3 linked regions of the Nothobranchius furzeri genome follow. The protein of the gene in region 2 purifies or fractionates together with the protein of the main gene of each other region. This does not show direct contact. Links are inferred from orthologs where the notes say so. Each region holds a gene or a part of one and is shown on either strand. Other genes may lie near its edges.

Region 1 (5,225 bases), on a different chromosome or scaffold from region 2:
CCATGGTGGAGTTGTCCCTGAGTGCCTGGGCCTTCATGATCCTCTCCATGTTTGCCGTCCAGCCATACGTGCTTGTCACAATGCAGCAAGGGGAAGACACCAGCCTGTTGGACACAGTCACCTGGAGGAAATTAAGCACAAAGGTTTACACCATGTTGGACCACAAGGAAACCCTTCATGAAAACTTAAGCCTACAGGGAAAGGAAACCCAAAACACACACCTTCTCCACTTTTTTGTCGAGGATCTCCTTCATGAGCTTGCAGAGGTTCTCATATTTGGCTTTGTCCTCCTCCATCTTTTTCTTCTCATCCTCATCTTCAGGCAGCTCTAGACCCTCCTTGGTGACAGAGACCAGGGTCTTGCCATCGAACTCCTTCAGCTGCTGGACGCAGTACTCATCAATGGGCTCTGTCATGTACAGCACCTCAAAGCCACGTTTGCGGACACGCTCGACGAAGGCGGAGTTGGCCACCTGATCTTTGCTCTCACCTGCAGAGAAACCAGATCCTCAGCAAGGATGAACAAGTCTACGGGGAGGTGTGGTTTCCAGATAGTGTGTGTTAGTACCAGTAATGTAGTAGATCGACTTCTGGTTTTCCTTCATGCGGGTGAGGTACTCAGTCAAGGAGGTCATCTCATCACCAGACTGGGAGCTGTGGTAGCGCAAAAGCTCAGACAGCTTCTTGCGGTTCTGAGAGTCCTCATGTATGCCCAGCTGAGGAAAAAAGCAACCAAACATGATCTTTAAATGCAAAATACAGCAATGCGTCCCTCAGTTTATAAAACACACCAAGCCAATTCAGATGAATCCACCATTTAGTTTCAATACCTTCATGTTCTTTGAGAAAGCCTCGTAGAATTTCTTGTAGTTGTCTTTGTCCTCCGACAGTTCTGCAAACAGCTCCAAGCACTTCTTGACTATGTTTTTGCGAATAACCTTCAGGATCTTGCTTTGCTGCAGCATTTCTCTGGAGATGTTGAGGGGCAGGTCCTCAGAGTCCACAACACCACGGATGAAGTCTTGAGTGGACAAAGTAATTTTAAATGCATTAGCCATTTAAAGAGTCTGTGGAATCATTTCAGACCACAGTGGAAAATGCAGCTGAACTTACTCAGATACTCAGGAATGAGCTCCTCACAGTTGTCCATGATGAAGACCCGCCTGACGTACAGCTTGATGTTGTTCTTCTTTTTCTTGTTCTCGAAGAGGTCAAAGGGTGCACGGCGAGGAATAAAGAGCAGGGCTCTGAACTCCAGCTGGCCTTCCACAGAGAAGTGCTGAAAGAAAATAAAGCATTAGAAAAAAAATCAGCCCGCAGGGTTAAAACTTTGTCGGAAACTCGTGTACCTTGACAGCCAGGTGATCCTCCCAGTCATTTGTTAGACTCTTGTAGAATTCACCATATTCTTCATTTGTGATGTCATCGGGGTTCCTGGTCCAGATGGGCTTGGTCTTGTTCAGCTCCTCCTGATCAATGTACTTCTCCTTGATCTTTTTCTTCTTCTTCTTGTCCTTGTCTTTGGAATCCTCCTCATCATCTGAACCCACATCTTCAATCTTGGGCTTGTCTTCAGCTTCTTCTTCTTTCTCCTCTTTCTCGGTCTTTTCCTCCTCTGCCTCGTCGTCACTAATCTCCTTGTCGCGCTCCTTCTCCACCTGCGACATAAAAGCTTTAGAAATCTGCCCAAGACTTAAAATTTTTAAAACGTACTTTTAAGCACTTACAAACAAGGTGATGGGGTAGCCAATGAATTGAGAGTGCTTCTTAACGATCTCCTTGACCCTCTTGTCCTCCACATACTCTGTCTGGTCCTCCTTCAGGTGCAGAATGATCTTAGTTCCACGGCCAATGGGCTCGCCTGAAAACATTTGAGGAATTTTCAGAAAAGCTAAAATAAACTAGAGTAAGCAAGTAGTGCACACTCAGACGTCACTGGTGATGGTTAGAATTACACACCGCTGTCAACCTTGACTGTGAAGGAACCTCCAGCAGATGACTCCCAGGCGTACTGCTCATCATCATTGTGTTTGGTGATGACGACCACTTTCTCAGCAACAAGATAAGCAGAGTAAAAACCCACACCGAACTGACCAATCATTGAGATGTCAGCACCAGCCTGGAGGAATAAAACAAATTTAGCTTCACAAGATCAGTCAGTCTCTTAAGATCCTGTGCAGGCCATTATGGGATGCGTAGTACCTGGAGGGCCTCCATGAAGGCCTTTGTGCCCGACTTGGCGATGGTGCCCAGGTTGTTAATAAGGTCAGCTTTGGTCATGCCAATCCCGGTGTCAATCAGGGTCAAAGTCCGGTCAGCTTTGTTGGGAATGATGTCAATTTTCAGATCTTTGCCAGTGTCCAGTTTTGAGGGGTCAGTCAAGCTTTCATAGCGGATTTTGTCCAGAGCCTGAAAACAGGGAATAGCGGTTAGTTTCTTCCTTAAAGTCAGAAGAATACTGAAGCTTCAGCAGACTCACATCAGAAGCGTTTGAGATCAACTCCCTAAGGAAGATCTCTTTGTTGGAGTAGAAGGTGTTGATGATCAGGGACATCAGCTGAGCGATCTCTGCCTGGAAGGCAAAGGTCTCAACCTCCTCCTCTTGGTGCATTTCTTCAGGCATCTGAAAATATAACAAAGTCACTTCAGTAAATGAAAGTGAAACAGAACTTAAGATAGTTTCAAAGTAACGCGATTTCGTCAAGTGGCTTCATTAAGTTGGATGGCCGCTGCAGCAGTCTGCTACATAAGGGCGGAAGTGTCAGTTAACAAACATGGCTTCTACTAGACAATGGACGCAGCAAACACGTGCTGGCGAACGATTAAGGCGGATCAACTCAAGTCACTTTAATAGATAAACAATGCGACGACGACTTCCATAAATACTACAAACGTACTTGTTTTAGCCTCCATGTGATAGTTTCAGTAAAACGTGGAGGTTAATTGAAACCGCGTTCAATTACGTAACGACCAAATGAACACTACCCCTCGTGGCTGGTAACCAGGCCTTATTACGCACACATTAAACTCAGTGTACCGGTTTAACGTGGGTTTATAACGGATTTAATCAGGCCGAGAACTCGATCCAGCGGAGTCACCGTCACCACACCTGCCTGACATCACGGTGCCGCATTCCCGCTGCTCAAGAGCATCACTACGATGCTCGGAAACATAAGCAAATAGTAGTCTCTCGAGAGGAAAATGAAAACATCAGCCGACGTACTAGGCGTCTGTCTTCCACGAAACACTTATTCGACCACCATATTAACCTCTGGATTTTCATTAACTAATAATGTTCGTTAAACACATACATACCGATGATATTTTAACAAACTTATAAAGGTAAGGATGTCTGACACGAGCTACGGACCCGTTAATGTACGCACCTTGGTAATTTCGTTGACTTTTTCTTGAATAAAATGCAGCAAAAGTGTAGTCCCTTGCGCTCCCTGACTGAAGAAAAAGGAAAGGAACTACTTTTCGGCACCAGACCAGTCTTTATACACGTGGGTCGCAGTGTGCAGTCGTATCCATCCGCAGTTCACGAGCTACAACCTGAAGCAATCACTTTTATGTAAAACCGCAGCCAGAACTAAACACACATTGTATGCTTCCTCACTGGAAAAGAATAATCTATTATTCACGTTTTGTTGGGTAAAAAGGGTTTAAATGCCAATTATGCAATCTAAGTAAAGAAAATGTATACGAAGTCGGACCTTAGTGTAACGTTGTCGCCATCTTGTGGTAGGTTGAGCTACAGCAAACCATGCACTGAGAGGCGATGTTTTTTGATCTCAATCATCCCATCTAGCGACAACATAGAGAAATGATTCGCATAACACTAAAACCACGCGTCAAGTTCAAATCTCAAGTGGCGTCTAGTTTCCCTGAAATTCGACATAGACTGTGGGTCTTTTTACTCCGACGGATGAATATTTCAAACACGAGAAGGTGTGCTTCGTTTCTTCTAGCCTGCTTCTAGCACTTTCCATGAAAGCCCCGCCTTAAAGTGACGTCACAGATCTCCCCCTTTCCTCTCCCGACGTATCATCTGTCACAAAATGTTCCTACAGCAAAAACGCCTTAACAACCATCAACTCAACCCTTTTCCGTACTGAATCATGAGAATATATGCTTTATATTGTCAAATGAACTAATGGTTGTTATTATATGAATTACAGATTTTCTTATGGACATAGAACACCAGTGGAAGATGGACTGCTATACATAAATGTAATACTATATTTGTCATGTTGATCACGACTTTGGAATTGAGTTTTTAGTACAGTGTAAGGGGAAGAAGTCACTGTTGTCAAGTGGATTAGAGTGGAATAAATGTACGCAGTTAGACCCATCAAATGCAAGAGATGCACAAATGATTATGATTCAGCTTTCTATTATGTAGTTTAACTACAGAAGACACATTTATAAATTTAGATAGTAACCTCAGTGATAAATAACAGAAGTACAGTCATACTTTGCATACAGAATATGTTATTTATTAGTTACAATTTCAGAATTGGTAAGAATGACCATTTTAACAATAATGTACACAGAATTTTTATGTACTCTTTTAAAAAACATTTAAAAAGAAGTTTAACATTGAAATAATCATATGATGGCTTTATCCTCTAATTGATTAAAACGAGTAGGAAAATCACAATGCTGTTTTTTTATGTGATCAGATGTTTTGTAAATTAAACCGATTAGAAACAAATCGTTTTAATAAAAAAAATGCGGACCGCTTTTTTGGTGTAACTTAATTTCAATGCTATTATTATTCAACCTTTTTTATTCATTTAGTTACTACCGCGCATTAGGTCTTCCAAGGTTAGTTAGGTAATCTGATCGAACCCTGTTAGCAGAAGTTTCGTTTCCTGAAAAGGGTTCATTTTGCGAATTCACATTAAGCCCCGTTCAGTGTATACACTCTGGTGCACAAAACAAGCGCGCCAGTACTCTTGCTCCTAAAGCGCGTGCGTCAAACTTTTCGAGGGCCCGCGACCAGCTAGCGTGCTAATCAGGCGTCCAGAACGTTAGCTATTAATTCACTATCATTAACATTTTTAGTGGATTTTATCTCATCATACGCCACCTGGTTGAGTGGTAGGTATATGTAGAGGCTTTTATATTTACTTCGAGCTCATGTTTAGCCTTGGGAAAGTCAGTGTTTTATTATAAATTAACATCTGCTCGGGCTAGGTTACTTTAGCATTTTAGCTGTG
Region 2 (5,220 bases):
CTGGTGGTAAAATATCAGAGTGTGTGTTTGTGTGAAATGAAGGCACATCTCAGACATGCTGTATAAATATGTGAGATGCAGTCACAAGAAGGTCGGATATGTAGGAGGGTGGTGGTAAGCAGGTGGAGATGATGAGAGGAGAAGGTGCTGCAGATGAGGAGAGAGAGATGTTGTTAGATGTCAGGCTGGACGGATGACCTAAAATGCATAAAGCTGTGAATTTAAGGATTCTTGTATAATTCAGGTCAGGAGGCAAATAAATGCAACTTTACATTTAAATGTTTTTTTGTTTTGTTTTGAAAGATGTCCTAACAGGATCCTGGATTTACAAACATAAGAGCCTGAGTTTGAGCATACAGACATTTGCACTTTGTCTCCCTCTAGTGTTTCTTTATGGAGACATTAGGAAAACATTAATTTTGTAAAGCAAACTGCTTTACAATTTATTGATTATTCATCTGAGGATTTTCAGCGTAGTAAATATAAAAAAGAGAACTGATGTGATTAAACGATTAAAAATAGTCGCAAAATTATGAAAAATTTGAATAAAATAAAACTGATGATTTATTTGTATCATTGTTTCCTGTCTCTTTGTGCACGATTGCAAAAATCAGATTTTTTTTAATCTGAGGGACAATAAACTGAGCAGAAAAGAAAGTTTAAACATCCACTTCTCTTCGGATTTGCCTGCAGCGACACCAAAATGTCCACACTAAGTGCCGCTAAAGGGATTTAGCCTGTTCTAGGTGAATTATGAGCTTTTTCTTTTATAGGAATAAGAAAACAACAGGACACTTGATCATAGCAACTCAATCTTTAATATCATAAGATATAAAAATCTTCATCTTTATCATACAATAACATCTTACCATAATACCATCAGTCAAAAGACCACCAAACAAGAAATATATCAGAACTTTGATCCCTTTAGAGGTAAGAAAGCTGGCTAACAGATTATTCAGCCTTACAGGTCCTTCCTTCTTTCATTCTCAATCCCGTTTTCTACTCCAGACATGCTTCCTCACATGTAGGCACCGAGCTGAAAGCAGGACCTACCCATCTGTGGGAATCGGTTTGAGACACACTTCTTCAGAACATCTCAAAATCAAGGTCCGTCGAGTGTAGAAAAAAAAAAGGTGAATTCCAAACTCAGGAATTGCATAAAAAGGGAAATTCCACAATGAGGGAAGAAGAAGAGACCTGCAAGGCAACAAGTCCACAGATCAGCTCAGCGTGTCTTTTACCATTTTAAATCCCCACTTTCTTGAGATGAAAAACCAAACAACAAAAGCTGAAAACACAAGAAACAGCCTTGAAAATACATCTTTCAGAAAAAAAAGTCATTTAGCAAACTGCAACATGCCACATTGTTCCTCGGGCAGGTTTTCTTTCACGGAAAGCCACCTACTTTACTAGTTTTGTAGTCATAAAAATAGTCAACATTTCAAATGTTTGCAAACAGATTTACGAAGCTGAGAAAAGGGAGAGCAGAAAAAACGAGGAAGCCACATGACATCATTACGTCACCAGACCATGCACGGCTCTGCAGCATCCCGCAAGACAACAAACATAAACTGCAAGTCATGCAACTGACACACACAAACTCACACACTCGCACACAATCGCACTGTAAAAGCAAATACTCGTGTATTTTTCTTCCTCCCCAGAATCCACCTCATCTGGTTTGGTTGTACCAAAACCAACAAGGCGTTTGTGGAAAGAGGTTTTATATTTTTATGAAATTATGCTCTTTGAAAAACATTGAACAGCAGCTGAACAGTTTGTGTGTGTGTGTGTGTGTGTGTGTGTGTGTGAGTGTGTGTGTGTGTGTGTGTGTGTGTGTGTGTGTGTGTGTGTGTGTGTGTGTGTGTGTGTGAGTGCAGATTGATTTGGCAGCGCATTTAGAAACATAAAGCTCATCAACTCTGCAAAAACCCCCCCAAAAAAAACAAACAAAAAAAAGAAAATCAGACAGACGGACAACGGAACAGGCAGACGGACAAGCGTGCAGCGAGGATCAACTACAGCAACGATCCAGAGAGAAAACGTTCATGTCACCATCAAAAACAGTTGCAGGTTCATGCAATCACTCGCTCACATGTCGCTCATCCACACGGCAGTAAGACATCCCCCCTCCCCCCTCGTCTTGCTGCTCGGATCACATCGGCCCACACACAGATAGCAAGTGCAGGACCACTGTTTGTGTTCCTTGGCTGTTTTTTAAATCTTTTTTTTTTATACATATATTCTTTTCATTTGGAGGCTGGACGCAACGTCCCAAAGCAAAGCCGCGTGGTGCTGGTGAGCCCCCGGTGACCTGATCAGCTGTTGAGTCTCTACAGGGAGGTGGACGGCAGCTTCTTGACACGCCTCTGGGCGAGGAAGGAGCTCTCGATGGGCTTGAGCTCTGGAGGGGGTTGGGAGTTCTTCAGGGCGGAGTAGGTGGCGGCCATCGCACCCTGAATGTAAACAATAACAAGAGGTTGTTTTTTTTTTACTCTATTTCATTCAAAATTTATGAAATAAACACAAGCAAATGCAATACATAAACATAATGAAAAAAAAACATTTGAATGAAAAGGAGCAGATAGAAGAAAAATCTTATCATTTCTGCCCCTTTTTACAAAAGAAAATTATCTGTAAAACACACAATACAGCCTCAGTCCCTTTCTACTTTTTATATATATAATCATTGACATTTTAATTTACCTTTTCACAATTGCTTAATACATTTGATTTTATGCATTTTTTGAATATAGCAAGTGAGTTTGAATCTTTAATATCTCTGTTAAGGGCATTCCACAATCTTACACCATTTACAGAAATATCACATTCCTTCATTTTGGTTCTGAATTTAGTTTTTTTAAAGACATCAGTCCCTTTTAATATGTACCCACTTACTCTCCTATGAAACATTTTCTGAATATTAGTTGGTAAATTACTCGTATTCGCTCTGTACATTATTTGCAATATTTTCCACTCTACCAAGTCAGGAAATTTCAGTATTTAATATCTAATGAATAATGAATTTGAGTGATCTCTGTAGTTACTGTTATTAATGATCCTCAATGCTCTTTTTTGTAAAATAAACAAAGGTTGAGTAAAAGTTTTGCATGTGGCTCCCCAAATATCCAGACAATAAATTAAATATGTTTCAATCAGCGAGTGATACAACATTAATAACACAGACCAATTTAGCAGAAATGTGACTCTATATAATACCGCTATGGCTTTGGCAACTTTCCCCTTTATATAACTTATGTGATTTCCAAGTGAGACACTCATCAAACATGACTCCAAGAAATTTGGTTTCTTTTACTCTTTGAATTTCCATTCCATCTATCGTTAAAGATACATCACAGTTTCTTTTGTTGTTAAACAGTATAGTTTGTTTTGTTCAGGTTCAATGACCGTCTATTTATATGAAACCATTTTTTTTACTTTAATCAGTTCACTGTTTATTACTTGAGTTACTTCATGTATATTTAATCCTGAATAAAACTGGACCAAGTAGATGAGATATATTTATAAGGTCATTAATAAACAATATGAACAGTTTAGGTCCGAGGACCGACCCTTGTGGCACTCCATAATGAATATCTTTCAATTCAGATCTGGCATCATTTATTTGAACAAACTGTTTCCTATTGTCTAAATAACTATTAACCCATTGATGAGCCACACTTCTTATTCCAGAGTTCTGATCAAAACTGAAGGAGCTCTACTGATCTGTAGTGTTTTAGAGGACTGAGGTAATTTATGGGAACTAGTGGCATCACTTACTCTCCATCCAATCCATTTTAACTAAGGTTTTACATACACACACACACACACACACACACACACACACACACACACACACACACACACACACACACACACACACACACACACACACACACACACACACACACACACACACACACACACACACACACACACACACACACACACACACACACACACACACACACACGAAAACGAGATGGAAAAAATATTGGTTGCTGATTGCGGCCCAGTTTTGCATATCAGACTGATACTTGTATGTTAAAACAGGACTAACATCGGCCAATACCGATTGATGCCAATATATCGTGCATCCCTAATGTTGCCGGAACCATTTGAATTAAATTGAAATGTTAAAAAATGTAACTCGTCCCGTGTTATTGCTCACATGCTTAGTGGTCACTTTTGTGAACAGCTGGGTATATATGTGGGTGTTGGTGGTTGACTTTATATAAGCAACAGTTTAGGACTCTAATGTGACAAGGCCACCCACTGACGGTGTGTGGAGTGGTAATACTGATGATTAAAATAAATAGTAAAAGTAATAATAATATTAAATTAACCAGTGTTTTATTAAAGAAAGTATTTCATTTTTCTTCATTGTTTAGGCTGACTTATGAGCAAAGTTTGGAAAAACAAACAAATTAGCACAAAAGGAACACATTTAAATGGCATTATGCCCTCCTGTGGCCACAATAAATATGACAAAAAAAATTAGAAATTGAGATTTCCACACTGCAAAAACCGATTTTTAAAAAGGCTTGTTATTAGACATGGTATCTTTATTTTCTGCAAAACAACACTACTTAAAGTAAATATTCTCAAATTTGATCCACATTTTCTTGTTGAGTAAAAAGATCTCATAGTGAGGTAAGCAAAATGAAATTGAACATTAGGTTATTATTCTAGTTTTAAGAATTAAAGCCAAGTTACTTTTGCTTACCTCAAAGGCAGATTTCTTTTACTGAAAACCAGAAAATTTGGATCATATTTAAGAATATTTACCTTATTTTAAGTCGTATTGATTTGCAGATTTGTTTTCTTTTTATGACTAAACATTAGACAACATGTCTAAAAACAAGCTTTTTTCAAACTTTCTTGAAAAATCCTTTTTGCAGAGCAATTATGTTTCTTTCCCCTCTGGGAGGAAAGAAAAAAATGTGCAGAGTTGCGTTACCTTGACCAGTTTGGGGTCCTGGTGTGGGAGCTGGCTGTTGGGCAACTTGTCTCTGTGAACGATCCAGGGGTGTTTGAGGACCTGCCTGGCTGTCAGTCTCTGATGGGGGTCCACATGAAGCATCTTGGACACAAGATCCTAGAAAGCGCCGAAAATGTTAGTTTTTTTTGCAAGAAAGAGACCAAAAACATCCCCTAAAGAGCATTTTTACCTTTGCAGCATCAGAAACGGTGTCCCAGTTGCCTCCATTCAGACTG
Region 3 (5,193 bases), on a different chromosome or scaffold from region 2:
AACCAATACTTTCTATTTCGCAGTAAGCTGTTGCCTGATCCTAGTCACCTTGCTGAAACCATCTCTGCTGAGTGTGTCCACGTTCCACGGCATCTTCTTCTCCTCTCTGTTGTATTCATCCAACTTCCTCTCCCAATCTCTCTCCTCCTTTTTCAATTTCTTCTCCTCAGCCTGGACTTTGCTCAGCTCTGCTTTGGCCTCACCCGACACATTTAGCTCTTGCAGTTTCTTTTGCGTCTCAGTCAGCTTGCGCCGACATTCTTTCAGGCTCTTGTTGATGTCTTCTCCTTTTTTCTGGAACTCTTCCATTCGATCCACACGTGCCTGAAATGGGATGATGCCAATCACAACTGGAGGTACAAAACTTTTACAATACACTTTGTTACAAGTTTTGTAGGCTTAGTAATTCACTACAGCTACATAAACAGGTTTGCTAGGAATTAGCATAGGGAGAATGTTGTTTGCAACACCAAACTGAGTCTAGGACGCCAGCTAACCAAAGTACCAGTCCGAAGTTAAAAGAAAATCAAAACTCAGTCACGTTATAAATCAAAAAGGTACCTGGTGTCTCCATCTGAAGAGGCTGGGTGTGTCAATGTTTGGGTGGGTATCATCTTCATCGTCCGAGACCTCAATGTGATCCCACACGCTGTAATCTATCCTGGACATCCTGTAAACCAGAACCTAGCTTGTTTTAAGAGTTCGATAATTTCAATTAAAACTCTCGGAAAAACAAATTCAACAACACTCTGACGCTTTCCAAAGTCTCCGAAAGATGTGTTAACTACCAACGGCGCATTAGACTGTAGTCTTATCAGAAGGGAAGGAGCTGGACTGTCTCAGCGACAGTTAGCCAAATGCTGCTACAAAATTCTAGAAAGATTCGCTGCTGCAAGCTTCCGCTACACGCCTAAACGTCATGACGTAAAAGGCACGTATGACGCAGGTGTTGTGGTAAAAAATGCACTCGTATGTGCCTGCGACCGTATGTTAAACTTACTAGAAAAACCAAGTTTTTCACAAACGCACCCCGTTAATAAACAAGTAAAGATGTATGAGTTAAAGTTCGGTTTCGAACAAAGTCTGTTTGACACAAATGCCTATACGAACAGAGGGGCTTTTTCCGGCACAACACCATGAGTTACAAAAGTGAACTGAACAGATTTCCTTCATTTCTTTCTTCGTATTTTTACTGTAGTTACTCAGATTTCTAAACAACCGAAATATCGTTTCCACTATATAGATACCATTTGTGTAGCCTACATAAAAACCATAATGTCTGATCGTGTACCAATCCATCCTTATCCTCATATTATTGCATATAGTTAAACCTGGTTAGCAGCAGATTAGTCAGAATGTTAGTCTGTTGTACAGATTATAAAAGTATTTACATCACAACTATTTTTGTAGTTTCTTTACAAGACGTGACTTCTTTTTCTCCACATTTGTGCTTTGACTTTCTTTTATTTATTAACTTATTATTGTATGCTAAACTGAAAGTACTATAAAATATCAAGTATCTTACACAATTATTTTTCAGCTAATCTAAACATTTCTGTAAAACTTAAAAAAGCAAACTGTTTTTCTCTACCGAATAAAACTATCTTCTTGGACTTTTCCCCCTTGTCAAACATCCACAGACTGAGGCTGTTTTCTCAGCGAGACATCTTACCTTCTTTACTGGACCAAGAACAGAGGCTGAGAGGTCTTGATGATGGTATAGTGTTCAGCTTTTTTTTTTTTTTTTTTTTTCATTTTATTTTTTGTTATTCTTTGGATGGAAAAACCACAAGTAAATGTTTAGATATAAACTAGCAAACGCTTCTCAAGAAACAATAATTAGAGCTGACCCTGAAAGCTGACTGGAGATCCAAACAAGCCAGTATTCAGTATGGCGTCTTAACCAGTGATCATCCAAATACCAAAAATCTGATTGATTTTTCATTAAACATAAACAGCCCAAAATAGTAGTATCAGCTCAGCAGGTCAGGGTTGAAAAAGAAATCTGCATGTTGGCCCTTAAATCCAGAATCAGCTCATCTCTGGAATTGTTAAATTTTCTCTTGTTTCGTTTGCTTTCAGCCCTTCATCCACCCAACATGGACATTCTTATAAGTGCCAGTAAGCATTTTGTTGGACACATTCAATTAGAATAAATCTAAATGATTTCAAGAGTTTGAAACTGGTAATCTCAATGTTTGCACTGTGAAGATGGAACCTCGACGTGATCAATAATTTATTAATGGATGACTTTTGCAATGAATTTTAGTATTTTGTTAGCAATGGTCAGTTTTAAAATAGTATGTGTAATAATAATAGAATAATTGCTCTCTTTATCAATCTGTTTAGGAAGCTTCTAAAGAAGTAATGACTGAAGGATGAAAGTTGGTGTTAGGATGGTGTAATATGGAACATATTATTGCCACACATGAGATTGTTTTTAGAAATTAAATGTTTCTGAAAATACTTACAGTGTGTTCTATATGTGCATTACTCACAAGCATGATGATAAAAAAACCTATTTTTACAGACCTGAACAGGGACATGAAAACACACACAAATAGACAAAAATATAGATCAGTTAAATGTTTTACCTGGTGATCGTGAATCGTCACGTTTACATTAACCCAGAGCTCTGAGCAGAATAAACACGAGGAGAGCTGGGACCACTTTAATATAAATATCAGGAGTTTAGTTTGGGTCTGCCACCAGAATCACAGTCAAGATGTCTACTATCAGTCTTTTAATGTATTTGTTTCTGTAAGCAAGCATATTTATAACAGTCTCACGCATGGACGTAATTTTCACTTTAGAAGTGGGGGGGACACGGGTGTGTGTGTGTGTGGGGGGGGGGGGGGGTATCTTTACAGTATGCTCTAATGGGAAACAGGCTTCAACACAAACAGTTGTTTTCCACTTGGTCCTAGAGCTCAACCAGTGTGAATTTAATATAGCGTAAAATTGTTTTTGGATGGTAAAAAGTGCAGGGGTCAAAACTTGACTTTGGAAAAAGTGGGGGGGACATGTCCCCCTGACCCCCCCCCCCCCCCCCCCCAAAATTACGTCCATGGTCTCACGTGATCTTCAGCTCACTGGCATGCAAAGATTCGATCATTTTAACACGATCAGAGGGCGGTGGACATAACCTGGTTGTAGTTAATCACACTGCCAGGGAGGAGTGTTATCTTAAAGCTTTACACGTTTACACGTCCAGTGTTAAGTTTAGTGTGTACTTTTATGATAATTATTATGATACATGTAATAATGAATACATTCCAACGGTAAATGCCAAACACACTGACATTTGATTGAGATGTTTTTATGCGTTGCTCTTGTTCCCCGTTGGTTTGGACTCCCTAAACCCGGAGCAGCAGATGGATTTCCCGGCCTGAGCTTCACAGCACCGCCGCATCTCTCGGATCACATTCTCACACAAACTCTCCGAGTAGTTGTTGGCTGCAGGAGTGGAACGGAGTTATGTGACTGTGGGGTTCGCCCGCTGTCTAGCAGCATTTTCATCTACATTTAATGTACCTTGCAGACACTTTTGAATAGCACATGCCTGTTTTTGACACGGATCTTTCTCCGGCATGCCTGAAAGAAAACGCAGCAATAGTGTAATCAAATTTTAAAGCATCAGGATACCCAAAAGGAGCTAAAAGCCGATTCCCACCTGGACGTCTTAGCTAGTGCGATGCATTCTCCTCTCGCGAGAGTGATCATGTGACGCAACGAGATCTAATCAAATCCGGACAATGAACAACAGCGACCTCTGGTGTTGCAAAGGAATTTGACAACGTCGCCTTGAAAACCTAAATGTAATTCCAAAATGTTTTGCAGTAACCGAACATAAAATGTATTTATAGAATAATTTTGAATATTTTTTTCATTAACTAACCTTCAGAAAGTATAAATTTACATTTTAAAGAAGCCATAATCTTTTGGTGGGAGGTATTTTTCACAAGTACGGAAATTTTGTTTATTTATTTACATTACTCAGAACTGGCACTAATAACTATCAAAATACACGTTTAAAAATCAAACCATAAAAAGAATTTTTTGTTTATTTAACTTTATTTATAAAGATAAGAACATTTAGAAACAGTTCATATTTACAGTAACTTCACATTGTTAGTCATTGGCGTATCAAGGGTAGTTATACTTTGTCAAATTATGATTTTCTTTACTTATTAGATCATTAAAAATATTCTAGTACATATATAATAAGGGAAATTTTATTACATAAAACAACAACAGTAGACTACGACAAAAATCAACCTTCACATAATAAATGGCGTTTGCTAAACATCTTCATTTGTCTTCTTTGTGAGATCTAACTCTGTATGATAACAGAATACATCAAAACATCCACTGATTACTGAATGCTTCCATCTCATGAGGCAGCAGCAATAAAACCTGCTCAGTGAAATTCTTCCAGCTGATTCAAGTCCTGTTAGTGGGCCTTAAACACCTGAACAACAGAAAACAAATTAGGATGCAGAGTTTTACTTGCAGATGTAGTTCCTCATACTTCCCCTTTACCTTTGGTCTTTGCTTTGACAATGAACTGTTTGCTCTTCTTTTCCAGCGTGTTTGAGGCAGCACAGGTGTATGTCCCAGGGAGAAGGGAGGAGGAGGTGATGACTGCTTCCTCCTTCACCCGCTCCTCTATGGGATGGGAGGATTGCCAGCTGTAGGCAGGAGCAGGGTTTCCTGCAGCTGTGCAGTTTAGGGTGATCCCATCACCCTCGGTAAGTTCTAAAACTTCTGTTTCAGGACTGAAAAAAGTTGGGGGAACTAAAAAAAAAAAAGAATGACAGACTTTACGTTTCATTATTGGGACATTTTAGGAGTGAAAGTAGCTTCATAACTCACAGAGGACATAGGCAGTGAGAGGTTCTGAAGACACTGTTGGAGGTGGTTGAGGTCCTTCTGGTCCAAGCTCCAGTTCTGCTACACACTTATACTCTGCCTCGTTCTCAGCTTTGGTTGGTGTGATGACAAGAGTAGAAGACACTTGGACAGGAGAGGAAGATGTGAGGTCAGAGAAGGAGTGTTTGTACACCTCTGTCTGACCTCTGTACCACCTCAGGGTGAGATACTGAACAGGAGCAACGTTCTGAACCTCACAGAGGAGCTGGTACTCCTTCCCCTCCATCATGGGGCCGGTGTGGTTCACCAACCTGATGGAAA

Evidence for each region.
Region 1: the proteins of rps6ka1 (region 2) and hsp90ab1 purify together in Homo sapiens (affinity purification with mass spectrometry; 3 studies listed by BioGRID and IntAct, with this or other methods). This does not show direct contact. The link is inferred for Nothobranchius furzeri from reciprocal best matches to the Homo sapiens genes RPS6KA1 and HSP90AB1.
Region 3: the proteins of rps6ka1 (region 2) and cdc37 purify together in Homo sapiens (affinity purification with mass spectrometry; 4 studies listed by BioGRID and IntAct, with this or other methods). This does not show direct contact. The link is inferred for Nothobranchius furzeri from reciprocal best matches to the Homo sapiens genes RPS6KA1 and CDC37.

What each region holds. Positions count from the first base shown.
Region 1 is NC_091742.1:8,414,999-8,420,223, forward strand, and holds the start of hsp90ab1 (heat shock protein HSP 90-beta), read right to left. Parts: upstream 3,528-5,225; 5' UTR 3,387-3,527; intron 2,624-3,386; coding exon 2,480-2,623; intron 2,410-2,479; coding exon 2,203-2,409; intron 2,120-2,202; coding exon 1,960-2,119; intron 1,862-1,959; coding exon 1,728-1,861; intron 1,659-1,727; coding exon 1,350-1,658; intron 1,280-1,349; coding exon 1,114-1,279; intron 1,022-1,113; coding exon 831-1,021; intron 717-830; coding exon 569-716; intron 491-568; coding exon 222-490; intron 122-221; coding exon 1-121. UniProt on the Homo sapiens protein: Molecular chaperone that promotes the maturation, structural maintenance and proper regulation of specific target proteins involved for instance in cell cycle control and signal transduction. Undergoes a functional cycle linked to its ATPase activity.
Region 2 is NC_091758.1:28,116,128-28,121,347, forward strand, and holds the end of rps6ka1 (ribosomal protein S6 kinase alpha-1), read right to left. Parts: coding exon 5,175-5,220; intron 5,102-5,174; coding exon 4,964-5,101; intron 2,460-4,963; coding exon 2,337-2,459; 3' UTR 2,318-2,336; exon of another isoform or gene 2,192-2,317; intron 1,201-2,191; 3' UTR 800-1,200; downstream 1-799. UniProt on the Homo sapiens protein: Serine/threonine-protein kinase that acts downstream of ERK (MAPK1/ERK2 and MAPK3/ERK1) signaling and mediates mitogenic and stress-induced activation of the transcription factors CREB1, ETV1/ER81 and NR4A1/NUR77, regulates translation through RPS6 and EIF4B phosphorylation, and mediates cellular proliferation, survival, and differentiation by modulating mTOR signaling and repressing pro-apoptotic function of BAD and DAPK1.
Region 3 is NC_091745.1:3,428,601-3,433,793, reverse strand, and holds the start of cdc37 (hsp90 co-chaperone Cdc37), read right to left. Parts: upstream 3,320-5,193; 5' UTR 3,305-3,319; coding exon 3,303-3,304; exon of another isoform or gene 3,297-3,302; intron 2,533-3,296; exon of another isoform or gene 2,472-2,532; intron 913-2,471; exon of another isoform or gene 671-912; coding exon 562-670; intron 325-561; coding exon 49-324; intron 1-48. Other genes in the region: cmc4 (cx9C motif-containing protein 4), read right to left, coding at 3,320-3,456, 3,535-3,592; uncharacterized protein, read right to left, coding at 4,464-4,471, 4,543-4,797, 4,876-5,193. UniProt on the Homo sapiens protein: Co-chaperone that binds to numerous kinases and promotes their interaction with the Hsp90 complex, resulting in stabilization and promotion of their activity. Inhibits HSP90AA1 ATPase activity.